Linked DNA regions of Mytilus edulis. The protein of the gene in region 2 purifies or fractionates together with the protein of the main gene of each other region. This does not show direct contact. Links are inferred from orthologs where the notes say so. Each region holds a gene or a part of one and is shown on either strand. Other genes may lie near its edges. The genes, in order: LYR motif-containing protein 2-like and acyl carrier protein-like.

Region 1 (10,308 bases), on a different chromosome or scaffold from region 2:
TTGATGAAATCAAACAAAGTCTAATTTTGGACCCCGATTTGGACCAACTTGAAAACTGGGCCAATAATAAAAAATCTAAGTACATTTTTAGATTCAGCATATCAAAGAACCCCAAGGAGTCAATTTTTGTTAAAATCAAACTAAGTTTAATTTTGGACCCTTTGGACCTTAATGTAGACCAATTTGAAAACCGGACCAAAAATTAAGAATCTACATACACAGTAAGATTCGACATATCAAAGAACCCCAATTATTCAATTTTTGATGAAATCAAACAAAGTTCAATTTTGGACCCTTTGGGCCCCTTATTCCTAAACTGTTGGGACCAAACCTCCCAAAATCAAAATCCAACCTTCCTTTTATGGTCATAAACCTTGTGTTTAAATTTCATAGATTTCTATTTACTAATACTAAAGTTATGGTGCGAAAACCAAGAATAATGCTTATTTGGGCCCCCTTTTGGCCCCTAATTCCTAAACTGTTGGGACCAAAACTCCCAAAATCAATCCCAACCTTCCTTTTGTGTTCATAAACCTTGTGTTTAAATTTCATTGATTTCTATTTACTTATACTAAAGTTATTGTACGAAAACCAAGAATAATGCTTATTTGGGCCCTTTTTTGGCCCCTAATTCCTAAACTGTTGGAACCAAAACTCCCAAAATCAATCCCAACCTTCCTTTTGTGGTCATAAACCTTGTGTCAAAATTTCATAGATTTCAATTTACTTAAACTAAAGTTATAGTGCGAAAACCAAGAAAATGCTTATTTGGGCCCTTTTTGGCCCCTAATTCCTAAAATGTTGGGACCAAAACTCCCAAAATCAATCCCAACCTTCCTTTTGTGGTCATAAACCTTGTGTTAAAATTTCATAGATTTCTATTCACTTTTACTAAAGTTAGAGTGCGAAAACTAAAAGTATTCGGACGACGACGACGACGACGACGACGACGCAGACGCCAACGTGATAGCAATATACGACGAAAAATTAAAATTTTTGCGGTCGTATAAAAAACAGCAAAATTTCCTTAAAATTACCAATTCAGGCGCAGCAACCCAACAACGGGTTGTCCGATTCATCTGAAAATATCAGGGCAGATAGATCTTCACCTGATAAACAATTTTACCCCATGTCAGATTTGCTCTAAATGCTTTGGTTTTTGAGTTATAAGCCAAAAACTGCATTTTACCCCTATGTTCTATTTTTAGCCATGGAGGCCATCTTGGTTGGTAAGCCGGGTCACCGGACACATTTTTTAAACTAGATACCCAAATGATGATTGTGGCCAAGTTTGGTTTAATTTGGCCCAGTAGTTTCAGAGGAGAAGATTTTTGTAAAAGTTAACGACGACGACGGACGACGACGGACGACGGACGCAAAGTGATGGGAAAAGCTCACTTGGCCCTTCGGGCCAGGTGAGCTTAAAAAACACAGCAAAAGGGAAAAGTTAAACAATATTCTTTATTTCTTTTTCACATTCAATTAAATGAGTTTTCCAGCGAATAGAAATGTGACCTAAAAGGTCTACATTTATTCCACAACGAAAGGGTCCACCATTCATGTCAGCACCACAGGGCTAAACCCTAGTTTCAACTTCCTGTGTCAGTCATTGAAATGTAATCCTACAAAAAAAGTGTATACATCTATTTTAATAGTAATATATTTTATCAAATGAAGCAGAACTTTTATTTTCTTTTTTATATAATCTTTGTTCTGAACAATACAATAAAAGTCCATTGTATGCTTCCTTAAATTCAGTGACAATTTGTATTTATAAGAATTCAGAAAAGGGCAATTTGATTCCATATGTATGAGGGTAGTAATGCCTTTTACCGTCAGGCGTCAAACGGCCATTTTCGGGTACCGTTAGCGTCAAATTGATTTAAATTTTACCGTGATTCGTCAAAATATCCTTATCGTGATTCGTCAGAGGTGTCAAATAATTATCGTTACCGTTATTTTTGGAAAAAAATTAACGTGATTCGTCAAAAAAAATTATCCTCTAAAAGAAAGTGCATATTTTATCGTCACGCACCTAAAAATACCGTTAACGTCATTTTGCAAGATTTTTTACCGTTATTCGTCATGTAGGTACCCCCATTACTACCCTCGTGTATAACACTGTTCTCTATGTTCTATCAATGAGGCTCAGCATTCATAACCTCGTGGGATTTCAAAATTAAAGAAGCACTTAATGAGAGTTTTCATCATTTCTAAAGTCAAAATGTTTACAAGTTATTTATTATGCGCTTTCCTTCTGAAATAAATTTTGACAGGAATTAAGCTTTGGTGGCATCACTTATAACCAATTTTATCGGAAATAATGATAAAATGTTAAAATTTGACGTAATCTGACTATTATAACAATGTTACTATAGTTAAAAATTGGTGCTGGTAAACAATACAAGTTTGCTGCCATTTGATCGGTTGGTGTATCTTTGACACATTGCCTGTCCACATTCTCAATGTTCTTGCCGGGAAATACACATTGAGGGGAATTGGTACTTATGGTATATTCAATTTTCACAAAGGTGTGAGTTAAGCTTACCATTTTCATAAAATAGATATGGACTGCTCCAGTTCTCTCATAGACTGTTTTCCTTTTGTTATCATCATTTTAATAGCATCCTACAACAGAACAAAATGTTTGGTATTTTTAATTTAATCATAATTTTAAAATTTTCACAGAAAATATAACTTACATTGCCCAAAAAGAGGCTGTAGGTACCAAAGAGACTTTCAAAACTCTTTCCCTCAAATTCGCACAAAGCTGTAAATGAATGCAAACTATGTCTCGATCATGCTAAATGGTGACAAAATGTAATTGGCACACGGGAAAACTTCTGAAAGGCATCAATATTCGATAAATTCTTGAAATTTAAAACAAAGAAAAATTTCATGTATTGATATCGGTGCCATGCCAGGGGTGGTGGTGGAAGGGGGGGGGTTACCTTAATGAGGTAGGGATAATTTCGCAAGGTTTTATGTAGAAAAGAGAATAAAAGGCTAAAGATCGAGAATAAAGGGGACAAAGAAGACTTGGTGCACTTATTTATAAATGACAGCATAATGACATAAAGATCAAAGAACAAGTCCAATCACCTATCACCGAAGACAGAATCTAAATCCTACCTCATCTTCTAAGTGTTTGTTAGCAGTAAAATCATGTCTAATCCATTCTATAAGTTCCTTCTGTTGACTTTTATCTGGAATTCTCCGAACAACTCTCAACATACTTCTATACAATTTTAAAACTTCTGACCTCAGCATAAACTAGAAAATAGCATTCAAAAAAATTTACAGTTTTGGTTGCTTTGTTCATTTATACAAATGTTATATAATATTTATAAGTTTTACATATAAATTTTCATACCATGCAACTTATTATTTGTCAGTGTATACCGGTACTTTCTTCCAATCTATCAAAGATCATAGTAACCCTTAACTCCAGAAAGTGAAAATCGTTAAATTGGACAACTATTTTGTCATCAGTAACAGCATATTAAAATTTGGCGGCATATATTTGTTGAACGGTTCATAGCTTACTGCACGTTGTGTGTGATTGTCTTACCTTTTCAGGGCGGTAAATGTGAAAATCGTAAATTTATACCAAACTTGCCCTCTATTTTGTCATCATCAACTAATGTAGTTTCAAATTTTGAAAATATTAATCATATGGGAATATTTCCCGTGCATCTTATTTGTTTTCCAATTCATTTCGCTTGTAATTGCAGGATGAAAGCAAAATTGTGCATTGTAGGAAACTATAAAAATTTAGGTGAATGAGCTTTAGAAACCATGCAGACGAAAAGAGAGGCTCGCATAACACATACCTTTTAATTTCCTACAATGCATTTGTTTATGAAATTTAGAAGCGGCACTTTAAGGTTTAGTTGTTTAAATCTAAATAGTTATTTCTTATTTCTCATTTTAGAAATCGGAATATCTAGTTCATTTGTAGTTTAAACGCAGACCAGGAAGAGGACAGGACCCCCAAAATCAACTGTCACACAAACGTTTGCTCAGAACAGAAGACTTTAAAATTGTAGAAGTACAAGTAAAACAGAACACCCGATGTGTACTAGTACTCCCAGGTGGTTCTCGGTGCTATTTGTACAACAGTTGGTTTATTGCAGAATAAAGTACAATTAAGTTATTTAAAAGGGGATAGTTATATAGTCAAAATAATTATACTTATTTGCTACAGCGACTTGTTGTATGGCTAAAAGCAAAAACGTATACATGGTATACATATATCCTTTCAAGACGTTATACTTATTTTGACTAGGGAATAGTACATTGTTTGTACTTTAAAATATTTTTCCCTGAACGTAAAGTAACAATAACTAAAAAAAAAAATCTAAAAATAACAACACATATTTATTTCTATGGCCTTAACAACATCTAAGCTAAATACTATGAATTAACTCCCTTTGAGACTATTTCTCATCTTGCGTCTACCGTTCAGTCACTTGTTTTTACACGATAAAACAGTGCACACTTATCCAAAAACAATCACATTATATCTATTAACATACTATACCTTTGTTAAAGACATCATGTGAGGTGCTTGTGATGCCATTTTAAATTGAATCCACTAGCCATAAAATGTTTGTTTTAAAAATCGTTGTTAGATGGGAGATAACTCGATTTATTTTTATGGTAAATCAAGTAAACGAAATGCTGTGACTGTCTGTATTTAAATAATCGTTCTTGCAATGTTCAACTCACAGGCGCTTGGGTCTAGGATACAGATTTTTTTTTTATTATTAAAATATTCAATTTTCTATATTTATAATTCAATTCAAAGTTTTATTGCCATATAAACTATACAGTTTGTGACATATAACAACAACAAAAACAAAGAAAGACAATAACTAAGTCTCTCAATATATATACACAAATTCAGGTAAATATTAAAGGGTCCCCTGTCCTCAGTTCCATTGACTTTTTTATAAAGGATCCTAGTTTATTCACTTGTGTTGGTGTTGATTGGTTAAGTATATATATAACTTTGTCATTGTCAGTGAGATTAGCAAATGAATTACTTTCTCTGTTAATGCAATTAAAATATGTAAATCTAATATTTGAATTATGAGAACAATTTATTAAGAAATGTTTCTCATCATCTAGTACTTTGCATTTTTTGCAAAGTCTCTCTTCGCGAGGAATTTTAAAATGCCTTCCTTTTTCAATTAATAATGAATGGTCACTGAGTCTAAGTTTTGTAATTAATTTTCTAAATTCAAAGTTTGGGTTAGAGAGGTAAGGTTTGATCAATAGATTTGCCTCAAGTCCTTTATAAAAATTTAATTTACTTTTATCATCAATAGATTTCAACTTATCCATCAACAGGTTGTTGTAATATGAGTTTATTTGGGGTTTAATATAGCTTTTAATATTTTTTAATTGTTTTAAATTATTACAGGTTTTTAGTCTATCTATATCAATGTTAGATTCAGAAAGAATATCTTTTGCAAAAGTGAACCATGAATAGGAGCCACTAGAATCCAAAGTTTTAGTTAATTGAAAAGATTCATGTAATAAGGGATTCAAATTTGAGGTGAAAAGCCTTGCTAAATACATAATAGTTTGGGTTTTTATAGGACATTCAATAGGCAGTCTTCCTAATTCGTTATACATATCTATCACTTCTGTGCATGTCTCGCCTAGTTTCGAGTGATTTAAACGACCCAGAGAAAATACCCAATTTTACTATCCATACTTTGTTTCTTAGTATGGATAGTAAAATTGGGTATTTTCTCTGGGTCGTTTAAATCACTCGAAACTAGGTGAGACATGCACAGAAGTGATAGATATGTATTATAAATATAGAAAATTGAATATTTTAATAAAAAAAAAAAAAAAAAAATCTGTATCCTAGACCCAAGCGCCTGTGGTTCAACTCCCAGCTGCATCCATCCACTTCATATGAATAAATGTTATCATTCATTCATGCATTATATATATATGTTGTTAAAATTATGGTAATTTTCTAGACGTTTTTTTCTTTCTTTTTTTTTTTTTAAATATATACATTGTTATATACTCTCTTAAAATGTCAACAATATATATATACTAAGTAATTAAATGTTGCAAGGGAGACAAATCTATTCCGTATCTAGAACATGCCTCAACCTCTCAAATGTTTGTCCAACTTGGCATCGCAGTATTACCATGATTACAGAAGCAAGCTGTTGATACACGTCATTACGTAGAGACGTGATCCGGTAAGGTTTAATCCGAAATTTGTAGAAATAGAAATTGTTGAAATTTACTTTTGAACCAACGGTTAACTTTATGTTTATTGAGAACTTTGATCTCATTTTTATATCAATTCTACTTCCTGCTAAGTTATATCATTTTTATACGACCGCAAAATTTGAAAAAATTTTCGTCGTATATTGCTATCACGTTGGCGTCGTCGTCGTCATCGTCATCGTCGTCGTCGTCGTCGTCGTCGTCCGAATACTTTTAGTTTTCGCACTCTAACTTTAGTAAAAGTGAATGGAAATCTATGAAATTTTAACACAAGGTTTATGACCACAAAAGGAAGGTTGGTATTGATTTTGGGAGTTTTGGTCCCAACATTTTAGGAATTAGGGGCCAAAAAGGGCCCAAATAAGCATTTTCTTGGTTTTCGCACTATAACTTTAGTTTAAGTTAATAGAAATCTATTAAATTTTGACACAAGGTTTATGACCACAAAATAACGGTTGGGATTGATTTTGGGAGTTTTGGTTTCAACAGTTTAGGAATTAGGGGCCAAAAAAGGGCCCAAATAAGCATTATTCTTGGTTTTCGCACAATAACTTTAGTTTAAGTAAATAGAAATCAATGAAATTTAAACACAATGTTAATGACTACAAAAGGAAGGTTGGTATTGATTTTGGGAGTTAATGTCCCAACAGTTTAGGAATTAGGGGCCAAAAAGGGACCCAAATAAGCATTTTTCTTGGTTTTCGCACCATAACGTTAGTATAAGTAAATAGAAATCTATGAAATTTAAACACAAGGTTTATGACCATAAAAGGAAGGTTGGTATTGATTTTGGGAGTTTTGGTCCCAACAGAATAAGGGGCCCAAAGGGTCCAAAATTAAACTTTGTTTGATTTCATCAAAATTGAATAATTGGGGTTCTTTGATATGCCGAATCTAACTGTCATGACTGTGTATGTAGATTCTTAACTTTTGGTCCCGTTTTCAAATTGGTCTACATTAAGGTCCAAAGGGTCCAAAATTAAACTTAGTTTGATTTTGACAAAAAATGAATCAGTTAGGTTCTTTGATATGCTGAATCTAAAAATGTACTTAGATTCTTGATTATTGGCCCAGTTTTCAAGTTGGTCCAAATCGGGGTCCAAAATTAAACTTTGTTTGATTTCATCAAAAATTGAATAAATGGGGTTCTTTGATATACCAAATCTAACTGTGTATGTATATTCTTCATTTTTGGTCCTGTTTTCAAATTGGTCTACACTAAAGTCCAAAGGGTCCAAAATTAAACTTAGTCTGATTTTAACAAAAATAGAAATCTTGGGGTTCTTTGATATGCTGAATCCAAAAATGTACTTAGATTTTTTATTATGAGCCCAGTTTTCAAGTTGGTCCAAATCAGGATCTAAAATTATTATATTAAGTATTGTGCAATAGCAAGTCTTTTCAATTGCACAGTATTGCGCTATGGCAAGAAATATCTAATTGCACAATATTGTGAAACAGCAAATTTTTTTTTAATTAGAGTTATCTTTCTTTGTTCAGAATAGTAAGCAAGAAATATCTAATTGCAAAATATTGTGCAATAGCAAGATTTTTTTTTAATTGGAGTTATCTTTCTTTGTCCAGAATCAACTTAAATCTTTGTTATATACAATATACAATGTATATTCACTTTTTACTACCAACTGATAAATTAAAATAATCTTTACCATTCAGTGATAACAAGCAGTTTTTTTACATCTTAATATTTTATGATGTATTTAAATGAGTAGTTATTGTTGCAAACTCCATTAGAAATTTTAATTGAGATTAGTTTTGGAATAAGGGAAAGGGGGATGTGATTAAAAAAATTGGGTTCAATTTTTCTCATTTGAAATTTCATAAATAAAAAAGAAAATTTCTTCAAACCTTTTTTTTAGAGGATTAATATTCAACAGCATAGTGAATTGCTCTAAGAGAAAACAAAAATTTTAAGTTCATTAGAACACATTCATTCTGTGTCAGAAACCTATGCTGTGTCAACTATTTAATCACAATCCAAATTTAGAGCTGAATCCAGCTTGAATGTTGTGTCCATACTTGCCCCAACCGTTCAGGGTTCAACCTCTGCGGTCGTATAAAGCTACGCCCTGCGGAGCATCTGGTTAAAAATAATTTTGAATAATATTAAACGTATTTGGGGGGGGGGGGGGGGGGGGGGCAAAACTATGGGTCATAATTTTTGCGAGATTTTATAAAAAGAAAATGACTCCCCTTTTCAATGACATCCTATATTAAAATACATTAAAAAAAATGACTCCCCTTTTCAATGACATCCTATATTAAAATACATTACATTTGATTTGGGGTATGATCTACATATCATATTGAATAAATATACTTTCTAGAATTTCACTTTGTTGATGGCCAAATGTTCGCCTTTGAAAAATCTTAAACTAAAATCCTTAAATTATGAGGAATGATATAGATTTATATAGCGCTTATAACATGCATAAGCATGGGTCATATTTAAGATATTGTATAAATCAATGATACATACATGACATATGTATGCTTGGTATGCAATTCCAAAAACATTGGCAGTAGGGAAGGTATACGGGACTTTAGGAGGGTCTCACTCTGACTGGGATGACCACAATATTAATTTTTTTACAGAGATTTACAGAAGAAATGTTAATTCTTCAATATACCATGAAAATGCTGTAATATCTAATAATACAGCAACGAACGGCCACCATACCGCAGATGCACTAGCTATGACTAACCTTATTTTTTACATTCAAATTCTGTATCACCAGATAGATGTTCTCTTGAACTTTGAAAATACATTTAAAATATAAATTGTTGCAAAGAAATCGCACTTATTGGCGAAGGCCTTACCCCACAAAAACTGACAAAACCATTACATTCATCTAGGGACGTCGCCTTGTGGTCATACTTTTCATGTATAAAGTACATTCCATAAGGTTAAATCACTAGATTACCAACATGTTAGAGAACATCCAATATCGTAAACTTTATAAAAATCACAGTAGACATTAAACTTCCATAAGATTTTATATAGTGCAAGATAGATAGATAGATAGATAATTTTATTAACCAATCATGGTGCCCAAAATTTGAGCTATATAATCAAATGAATTACAAAATAAAGCACAGAAAATGATTAGAATGATTAAAGTACATTTGAACAAAAAACCACATGAATACACATTTACACTAATTAACCTGATATAAACCAAGTTATTGACAAAACATAGTTGTTATGGGTGCCACTGTGATATCATTAACTTTATATTTTGTTCATTTTTCTCAAATGAACATGAACACTTATAACCAAAAGAAAGAATTTTCTCTGACTGTTAATGACGTTTTTACACCAAATTCATTGGATATTAAATGTGTACTGATTGATATTTTAGTCTTAGATGCATGGTTTTTTATTAGTTATTATTGGCTTTCAGCTAGTTGTCAGTAATTTGGGGTATTCTCAGTTTTGTACTTTTGCGTCTTTTTTGTTACATAAAAAAAGATATTTTAAAACATTTAAGCAATATTATTAATTTTACAGATTTTAGCTGGAAAAATAAATAGATTTGAGTTTTTACATTTTTTCAGACATTTTTCTCGCCTACAAACAGAGCTAAGAAACGAAGGGGAGGACAGGGGGTACCCTTCTCCCTTCTCCCACCCCTCTTCTCCTTTCTCCCATTAGAATAAAACATCTTCTTTTGGGATATTTTTTCTTGAAATATTAGAAATTTTTTTAAAGGAGAGATATTTTATTTTTTCTCCTTTCTCCCAGCCTTCCTCTCCTTTCTCCTACACACTTTCTCCTTTCTCCCAGCCTTCCTCTCCTTTCTCCTACCCCTTTCTCCTTTCTCCTACCCCCTTTCTCCCTGTCTCCCTTACCCCTGTCCTCCCCCTCAGAAACAGGTGTGAAAAAATCCATGTCCACCACCAGTTGTAAAATAAACCTTTCTCAATGAAGGAATTTAAATTTCTAATTCCAACAATAAAAATATTCATAATGACTGGATGGAAATATTTTTTCGGGAACAGATATCCATTTTTCTCTTTTATCAAGGT
Region 2 (9,869 bases):
AAGTTATAAATTTATTTTTAATAAATGCATTTTCGGACTGATAAGGTGAACAAATTAAAGTACAATAATCTGTAAAGACAATATGTTGGTGTACTATTATGGACCTTTTACTATCTCTGCTATGGCTAGGTTTATACGATGTGTGTATTCACGGTTCTGTGGCAATACTCGTAGATGGCTTGTTGAAAGGTAAATTGTTATTTGCACTTCGGTATTTAACCACGCCTCTAGGGCACACCTTGCCAGGTGTGACTGTCTATTCGGATCAGTGGTAGCATTTAATACACACATTAAAAATACATATTCAAGTTGGTGACAAATAAAAATTGGTCGCCGTGGAATTATTTAATTATATTTGGTGCTATTATTTATTTGAATTCAAATAAGTTAATTTACTAAGAAATACACAATTTTCGGTTAAAGACGGGAAACTTAATTCATATGTCAGAATGAAATGATATACAAGTCTTGTCCTTGATTTATGTCTCATAAAAAAGGGGGACTTAGAAATTAGAAATAGCTTTACTAAATCATTTTTATTTGTCTTTATTAGGCGAAAAAATGTACGAGAACACTTACATTTAGACTTTTGAAAGCCATGTATTAATTAATATATGAAACTATCTGAAGATAACTCTACCGAAGCGGAATATAATATGTGTGAATAAAGAAAAAAATATGTTTGTAATGGAATCGAAAAATTACGAATAGATATTCTTTTCAAGTGTGATAAACGTCAACCAAATTTATTCATAATGGGGAACGTCCTTATTAAAATCTGAGACAACTATAATAATCGTCGTCTCCCAACGTATATATATATTTAAATAACTATTTGATCAACGATGTTTAAAATTAAAAGACAACGAATTTAATGTTATCTTTCCCTATTTTTGAATGTTATTATAAGTCTGTTCAACTTGCAAGAATACCCCTAAAGCGGACAAATATCCGACAAGCAGTTTATTCTTTAAATTGCTGTCATTGAATATCAAGAAAGAAAATAAATCCCGAAATTGATACTCAATAGTTTTCCTAGAAAATATTCACATTCCTTGGGGATTATTAGTGTACGTCCAGTTGCATATGTTTTACATGAATGTTGGAACAATTGTGATGATGACGAATTTCGTCCTTTATTCGAGAACAATTTAATTGATATATAAATCTGTGAGTTTACTATGTTCTTAACTTCGATGAACCAAAGCAAGTTATAAATTGACCTGTAATTAAATGAAATTGTTTCTTTTTTTTCTTCTTCTTCTTTTGGTATACAATAGTCTATCGAATTCGTTGATTACATACTGTTGGCATACATGGACTAGTCTATTTACAAAACTTTTACCACAATTTACACAAAATGTATGTTTCTTTCTTATGTTCAATGTATACATGTATACATATTTTAAATTGCGCTACTGACTATAGTTCCGTAACTTTCTACCAGGCGTATGTATACACGAATCGTCGACAAGTGCGCACATTTTTTTAGATCAATAATTCTGTAATGTTCCAATCTGTCCTAAACTATTGACAACGAGTATATATTACATTTTCCCAAATTAACCCTTGGAAAAATATGTAAATAGATTTGTATTTCTTCAATTATTTTTTTTTGTATTATTTTTTTTTTATAAATAATATTCTTTACACCAGAAATGTTATTTATAAACAAGCGTATGAGTTCAGTAATGACTAGTATATTATATCACTTTCGGACACGCAAGACAAAAATGTATATTATACATGCACCTGATAGTTCAAAATGGAAAGTTATAAGTAACGGTCGTGTACACTGATCAATACCTACAGAAGTGAAACGATGCATGAACTTGCAAGCCCGCCGGACAGGAAATCGATTGAATACCTGGACGTGTCACCTTACACCCCTTCCAATACCTTTGGGAGTAATACCTTTAGCCATGCTGGTGATCAGATAAGGGAAGATCCGAATTTATTTAAATAAAGTTTATTACTTGAAAGAATTATGAACGAATTAGATTTTCGAAAACAATTTCCACGGAACACTTATTTATCATTTTATGATTTGAACTTTTTAACTAATTACAATATTATCAGTTTAAAAATAACAGACTATATGGTTATTTAAAAATATATAACCATTTTCCGTATCAAGTTAGTCAGTCAGATAAAACAACCGTACGATTGACAAGATATCGACACGCAATTACGACTACATCGTTTACTGTAGTTTTGTTCCTTTGTGGTTTATTGACATATCGGGATTTTTCATCGGAGAAGGTGACAAGATGGCGGAGAGTAGAGAACTGATACTCAAAATTTAAAATCGATGGTGATCTCTTATTTAACGGAATAAAACTTTAATATCTATAAATTTGAGCATTTTTATACAGAATGGACATAATATCAATTTTTGATTTTTTTGCGAAGTTTCCCTTTAATTATCTGAATAAAATATGTACCTCTTAAATAATGAGACTTGTTGTTTTTGCGTGATTTGTTTCATTTGTGTGTTAAAACAGGTAAAAGCTAAAAATAACTATGAATTCTCGGAAGTAGGCCACAGGTAAATCTATTAATAGCTTAAGAAGTTGATCCAACTCGGATCTAATTTTCTACAGTTTTTTATTTATGAAACACATTTCCAATTTTAAGTAATACAACTACTTTTATGATTATAAAATTGGACATCAAGATGAGTAAAATTAATTTACTTTTCTATCTTATCTGTCGTGGTTCAAAATAAAAGGCTGAATATTATGTAAATTAGGAAAATGGCGTACATGTGTACATACATAATTCTATTTCACCTGGGATATGCTATTGACACACGATTCCTTATTTTTACACGGGACTTTTATATATATTTTAATAAATTGTTGAGAAAGAGGTACTTTTCATTCATATTTAATAAATATTGATGAACATCACGCACAGTTTATTATTTCTGTCGTGTCCTTGTTTGTGAAGTAAATGATAACGATCACATTTGGATAAACACATAACAAACACATCTTAGGCAAAATTAATATCAGATTCATAAAATAAACAAGAAAACAAGAAGAAACAGGTTTTATTTGACTATAAAAGATCGTTTTATTAATAAAATGAAACATTTCTGTACTGAAGTTTTCTTAAACTTCGTAATGGCACAACTTCCGGCTTCATTTCTTCTCGAGAAAAATATGAAATTATTTCAAAATATTCGATTGTACATGGTTTTCACACATTTTTCATGAATATTCCTATCCAATTAGCCGATATATTCTAATAACCGATATTTGATTATCCGATGTATTTTGACTGAAATGTATAGGGAATGGTTCGGTGTTTTGAAATAATATTACAATAGCCGATATATTCGTTTAGCCGATATCCGATTAGGTGGAGTCTACTGTAGTAACTATTTTGACCACTCAGCCACTGAATAGGAATCTGCATGGAATGATGGATAAAAGTTTGAAAAATTTAAAAACGTTGACAGTAAAAAACACCTTGCATGTTGTGATCCAAATTCTTTTAATCCTCATTGTGTTAAGAAATACTGGAAAATATATTTGCAGGGGCTGTTTTGCTACTTTTTTCATTGTCCTTTTGAAAATGTTTGACATGTTTGAAGGATTATTTGATTATATCAATATTCATATTTGCAAACTATGATAATGAAATGGTCTTTTGTTGGTGATCCTTACATGTTATTTGCAGAATATTTTTTGTACAAAAAGAAACAATAATATTTAGCTGAAGTACTCAAAAACACATGATTTTTCTACAGATCATGCTTGTGTCCTTCAAAAAAGTGTAGGCCGAAAACTCAGATATCTACCTTGGATAGAAGTTTGTGAGAATTCAAGCAACATAGTTCATTTGTTTGATGTCTATTATGTACATATGACACTGCACTAAATCTACAAATCGATCGTCTAAGAACTGTTGGGTGAAATTTAAACAGAGCTCGCACGTTCCTCACAACAGTTGCCATTTTTAGTGACCTTCACCTTATTTAAATGGCAAAACATAGATGGTGCACGCTTGTGTAATTTCCGGAAAAGAGATAGTTGATAACCGTACTAAATTTGAAGTTGACAACGCACAATAACGTAATTAAAATAAAATTATTAAGGTCGTTGATGACATTTCCAGTTATAAAATCGAATATTGATTTCTTCCAACATATATTTTTTTTTTCATAAACATGATTTATTTTTAATGAGAATTTGATAATGATTAGTCAAAAAGTTAAGACAAAATATCAGACAAGTTAAGACAAAATATCAGACAAAAATAAAATACTAACTGATGCCAGAGACATATAATACAATGTATTATATGTCTCTGCTGATGCACAACACGGATTCCGCAAAAGACGACCATGCGAATCCCAACTAATCGTAACCATCAACGACATTGCATCAAAATGAAAAAGCTGCGGCCAAGTAGACATCATCCTGCTAGACTTTGCTAAAGCATTTGACAAGGTACCACTTTTGGGTCCTCAATGCTCTTCAACTTTGCACTTTTTTGTTTGGCTTTATAACTATTTTGATCTGAGCGTTACTGATGAGTCTTATGTAGACGAAACGCGCGTCTGGCGTATTAAAAATGATAATCCTGGAACCCTGGTACTTTTGATAACTATTAAGTCAGAGTTTTTTTTACTTTTGAATAGTTTTTATGACAGCAATTTTCTTTTCTTATCAATCGTTATCAAAAGCAGAAGTCGAAACACGAATATAATGCTTAAAACACGTGCGTTGGATAGACAATTTGAATGTACCAATTTCAAAACAGTTATGTATATCAAAGTTAATGGATGAAGTTTAAAATCAGAGATATTTTTTTTACAATTGAACATTTTTCGTTAAAACAGCAGTTTTCTTTTCCAGGACCATCGTTAAAAAAAGAGAAGACGCAAAAGTATTCCTCAAGCCGTTGTATGTTATTTTCAAATTTTGTTCATTTAAATGTTTTAGTGTTTAGTACGTTCATTTTCACTGAAATAGTACACATTTTTATTGAGGGGTCAGCTGAGGTCCACCTCCGGTTGTGGGATTTTCTCACGGCATTGAGCTGTTTTCTGCTCTTTGGTCCAGGGTTGTTATCTCTTTGACATATTTTCCATTTTCATTCAGTCAATTTTATTTTTCATTGTTGAATGTCGTATAGTATTCTATTGCTGCCTACATTCACGACATTTGATATCTGCATGATGGATAGCTTAGGGTCATCCTTATTTTGTTAAATACAATACAACGCAGAGGATAACGCACAAAGCGAAAGATAAAACTATTTAGTATTCATCGACAAAATTTTGTTATTTGTTATATAATGTATATAAAAAGGTGTGCCAGATATACCAGCCCATTGGAAATAACACTAATATTTTATTAATTAAATGATAATTTAAAAAGTTATATAAATACATTATTAATGTATAGTGGGACTGATGAGATTAAAAAAAAGTTTAACCCCGCCGCATTTTTGCGCCTATCCCAAGTTTCTACATGGCCTTTGTTAGTCTTGTATGAATTTTAATTAAAGTTCATTTATATATTTCGGAGTTTAGTATGACGTTCTTTATCATTTAACTAGTACACATTTTTGTTTAGGGACCAACTGAAGCAACTTTTCTCCCTGTAGACCCATTGGTGGACTTCTGCTGTTTTCTGCTCTATGGTCGGGAGGTTGTCTCTTTGGCATATTCTACATTTCCATCCTCAATTTTATTACACTAGAAATTTGGACACACATATTACAATCATCAAGTTTAAATACTATCGCTCTCTACTATGCACTAAAGGGACGAGAGAAGAATCTAAGAGAGTGCACAGTATCCATGGATTTGCTATAACCAATATTTAAAGACTACTATACATTTTTTTTCTTCTATTTTTCAATGTCTGTATTGTTTATAATTGTAACATTTTTGTCTATCGCTTGTCCTGACGAACGTGTTTTTATTTCAAATATTTACATTCGGCCAAGTTTCAGGATTAGAACATTTACTTGACCGATTGTATATGAATTTGGTGATGTCTAAGGGTTACATGTGTAAGAGTCAACTACCATTCCACTATATATTGCGTGATGCCTATGATCTCCTGATATGACTTATCAACGTTTTTCCAAGAGTAACACGACGGGTGTCTCTTGTGGGGCAGGATCTGCTCACCCTTCCGGAGCACATGAGACCCCCCCCCCCCCCCCCGATTTTTGATCGGGATCATGTTGCCCAATCTATCAATTTGTCTTTTTCCTTTAAGCTATGGATTTGTCAGTTTGTTATCGACTGATGAGTTTGAATGCCCCTTTGGTATCTATTTCAAAATCTATTTTGTATTGTTTATACTGTTATTTGTGATTTGATCGTGGTTTTTTTTTGCCATGATGTCATTGTATTTGTTTTCGATTGATGAGTATGAATGCATCTTTATTATTTTAATTAGTTAGACTCTGTGTGACACACATTATAAGGAACATAGTTTGAAAGTTATATTATGCACCATATACAGGTGACACTTTTACCTTTCCAATATTTTAATTGCTATGAGACAGCGAGCCGATCCATTCTTTAACGCTTATGGATTAGATTCTTAACATGTAAGAGAAAAATGAATAAACTAATCCGAATAAATAAACTTAGTAAAAAGTAAACAAAAGAGAGGCAAAATATACCCAAGGGACATTCAAACTCATAAGCCGATAACAAACTGTTGCTGTTATGTTATTACAACACCGATAATACGTCTAATTCGATAATATAAGTCACATGTGGGTAAAAGAGGCAAGGATTGTAGTTACGACTTTTAGAAAATATCCGTTGGGTGACTGTCAAATATCGCAGATGTTTTATAAATCATTATACAGTAATTGAAGAATGATCGTTTTCTTAAACAAAAAATATTTTAAGAATTGTATATATCCGAAATTAACGATACGGGCAACCACTAAATTCTGAAGTGGAATAAAAAATGTCAATTTCGGATTGAGAAATGTATAAAAACATGTCACCCTCGGTCTTTTGTACAGATATGCATGAACATTACTAGTATTATTGTACCTTCTAATTCGATATCTAGTGTAATTTCTATAATACCCTTTTGAGACGTACGACAGAAAACTAGCAAAAACATGAGTTTATTTAAAGACACAATAGGGGGTACAAGAAATCATCTTGAAAATAACTAATTAGATGAACTAGAAACCTGATAGTGATGTTGAACACTATCATGACTACATGTATACGATGTTTTTAGGATTAACTTATGGGTCATTTTAATAGCCATATTTTTGACATATTTTATCACACAACAAATATATCAAGAACAAAATAGTTTTATTGCAATTTCAAAAATAATGACTTGCATAATATATATATATACATATATATATAGTTTGTAAACAAAAACAAAATAATATGATAACTTTAAAAGACAACAGAAGATACACAAAGAAGTCACGCATATGACCAACACTTACACATGGGAATAAGTTATTCAAATAAATTATAAATTCTCAAAAAGAATAATGTTATTTCATCATGTTCATAGCATGTTCGAAATTCAGTTTCACCGGTATTTTGTCATCAAATTTTCCAGTAGACCATCCGACACTTGCCAATAACCAATAATACTTAATTATATTGAATTCACTGTCTTAAAGATCACAGACAGAGAAACAATCGCTTGTTGTAATACAATTGCATTTGAAGAGATTCTAAAGTTTAAGGTGGTATGGGAGTCTAAATAAAAATGATAGAATTTGTTCATACTTTGCCAACACGTTATATCTATTGATACATGTTGAAAAATATAATAAAAATGATAGGTCACCGCGCATTTTCTCAAGCTACAGGACGGGACAAAATGACACATTTTGTATGGATTATACAGGAAAAAACACCATTTTGTGATTAGAAACTAAACAAAATGATAGAATTGTTAAATACTTCAGGAAAAGATAGCTTTCAGACACTGCTTTGAGAATATCAAAAGAAAAGATAGGGTCACCGTACGTTTTTTCCGGCTAAAATACAAAATAGGAAAATTCCATACAGAATCCTTCAGAAAATGCACTTTTTTAGAGTTACCTCCCCTTAAAATGCCAATTTAAAAAAAAAAAAAAAAAAAAAACAACCAAAAATAATTAACATTTGCAAAAATATCAATATTTAGAAGTTATATTCTTATAAATTGGTACTTTTAAATGAAAATGTACATTAAACATCTGCATTCCTGCATCAAATTTTGCTAACTTGATGGAAAATTTGGACCTTTGATTCTCTGTTTTTTACAATCCAAGATGGAGGAAGACACCCATACCACCTTAAAAATACGGAAAGCAAAAAGCAAAACGTTCTACTCCATCATCATGACTTTGCGAATACCCCCCCCCCCCCCAACCGCCATATCAACTGGTTTGCCACTTTTGCCTGTAAGTTCAAGACAATCTCTATGATCTTCTTTGAAAAATTGATTGGATAAAGATAGTCTGCAGGAACTTGGATTGGGTACAATTGAGTTCAGAATAGTTATTACATCACAGGTTTAGAACTCTTCCATGTCTGTTGAAATGCTGGACGATTTTTCAGTCTTTCTAAGTAGGACAGTAATTCTGGGTACTTCTGTATTAGAATTCCTTCTTTCATTTCCGATGCCCACCACATATTATAGCCCAATACACAGTCTGCCACTGAAAATCTAAAAAGAAAAAAAAAGAAAACGCATACAATCTAGAAGCTAATTTAAACAAATCATTTGATAGATCAATTGGTAAGAAAAAAAATTTCTCGAATAAGCATACCCCCTTTTATATGTCCTTTTGAATACAACTGATGTAAGTAAAGAGTACAAATATGTATCAACCTTATAAAAAAAGGATCTACACCAACAGTTAAAGCCGCCAGATACATTTACCGTAAGTCGAACCGAAATTATAAAAGAGCAATTATTTATTACATATGGTTTATATATGAATCCGAATTTCAGTTATATGAGCAGACTGGACAGCTCTCAGCTGCAGTCTTATAGTTTATGCCATTTTTTAAATTATAATCCAACCATGTTACAATGTAAGAATTTTTCTAGTACACGGAATTTTAATTTTATAGTTTTCTACAACATTAACGTTTGTTTTTAAACAAAATTCTTACGACCTTTGTATGATAAATGTGCAAACTTGTCTTTTTACCAGTTTCTAACAATGTTCAAAGCCCCATTTACCTATTTACCTATTTACCTATCCCGAGTTCAAAATTAGAAATACATAGATCTATGTTCTATCTTTGTGATGAAAACAGGTGTATTTGTTCTCAGAATGAAAAAAAAACACACGAATATAATACATTGTCCGATAGTTGCTCAGATTGTTGACCGATTGAAACTATTTTTACCCTAAGATATGAACCCTACAATGGTCATTCAATTCGACCGGTTGAAATGATTTTATAGATTCAATATTTTATTAAAGTCTCATCACTTGTATAACATTATACATTCCAATAAACATATAAAACATTGCGTATAACATGAAATATTGGATAACATTTATACTATGATCTTCTTACAATGGTCATTCAATTCAGTCCGATCTAATCCCTATACATATAAAAAAAAAAGATATGGTAAGATTGCTAATGAGATAACTATCCACACGAGACCAAATGACACAGATATTAACAGCTATAAGTCACAAAGCTCAGACCGCATAGACAACTATGAAAAGGCCCCAGACGAGAAAATTAACGGCCTAATTAATGTACAAAAAAATAAACGAAAAACAAGTATGTAACACAACAACAAACGACAACAACTGAATTACAGGCTACTGACTTCGGATAGGCACAAACATACATAATGTGACGGGGTTAAACATGTAAGCGGGATCCC

Evidence for each region.
Region 1: the proteins of acyl carrier protein-like (region 2) and LYR motif-containing protein 2-like purify together in Homo sapiens (affinity purification with mass spectrometry; 3 studies listed by BioGRID and IntAct, counting the BioPlex papers as one, with this or other methods). This does not show direct contact. The link is inferred for Mytilus edulis from reciprocal best matches to the Homo sapiens genes NDUFAB1 and LYRM2.

Annotation. Positions count from the first base shown.
Region 1 is NC_092353.1:70,003,552-70,013,859, forward strand, and holds LYR motif-containing protein 2-like, read right to left. Parts: upstream 4,650-10,308; 5' UTR 4,583-4,649; coding exon 4,544-4,582; intron 3,274-4,543; coding exon 3,133-3,273; intron 2,629-3,132; coding exon 2,554-2,628; 3' UTR 2,549-2,553; intron 1,623-2,548; 3' UTR 1,444-1,622; downstream 1-1,443. UniProt on the Homo sapiens protein: Involved in efficient integration of the N-module into mitochondrial respiratory chain complex I.
Region 2 is NC_092352.1:77,013,745-77,023,613, reverse strand, and holds the start of acyl carrier protein-like, read right to left. Parts: upstream 4,006-9,869; 5' UTR 3,965-4,005; coding exon 3,809-3,964; intron 1-3,808. Other genes in the region: uncharacterized protein, read right to left, coding at 8,516-8,681. UniProt on the Homo sapiens protein: Carrier of the growing fatty acid chain in fatty acid biosynthesis.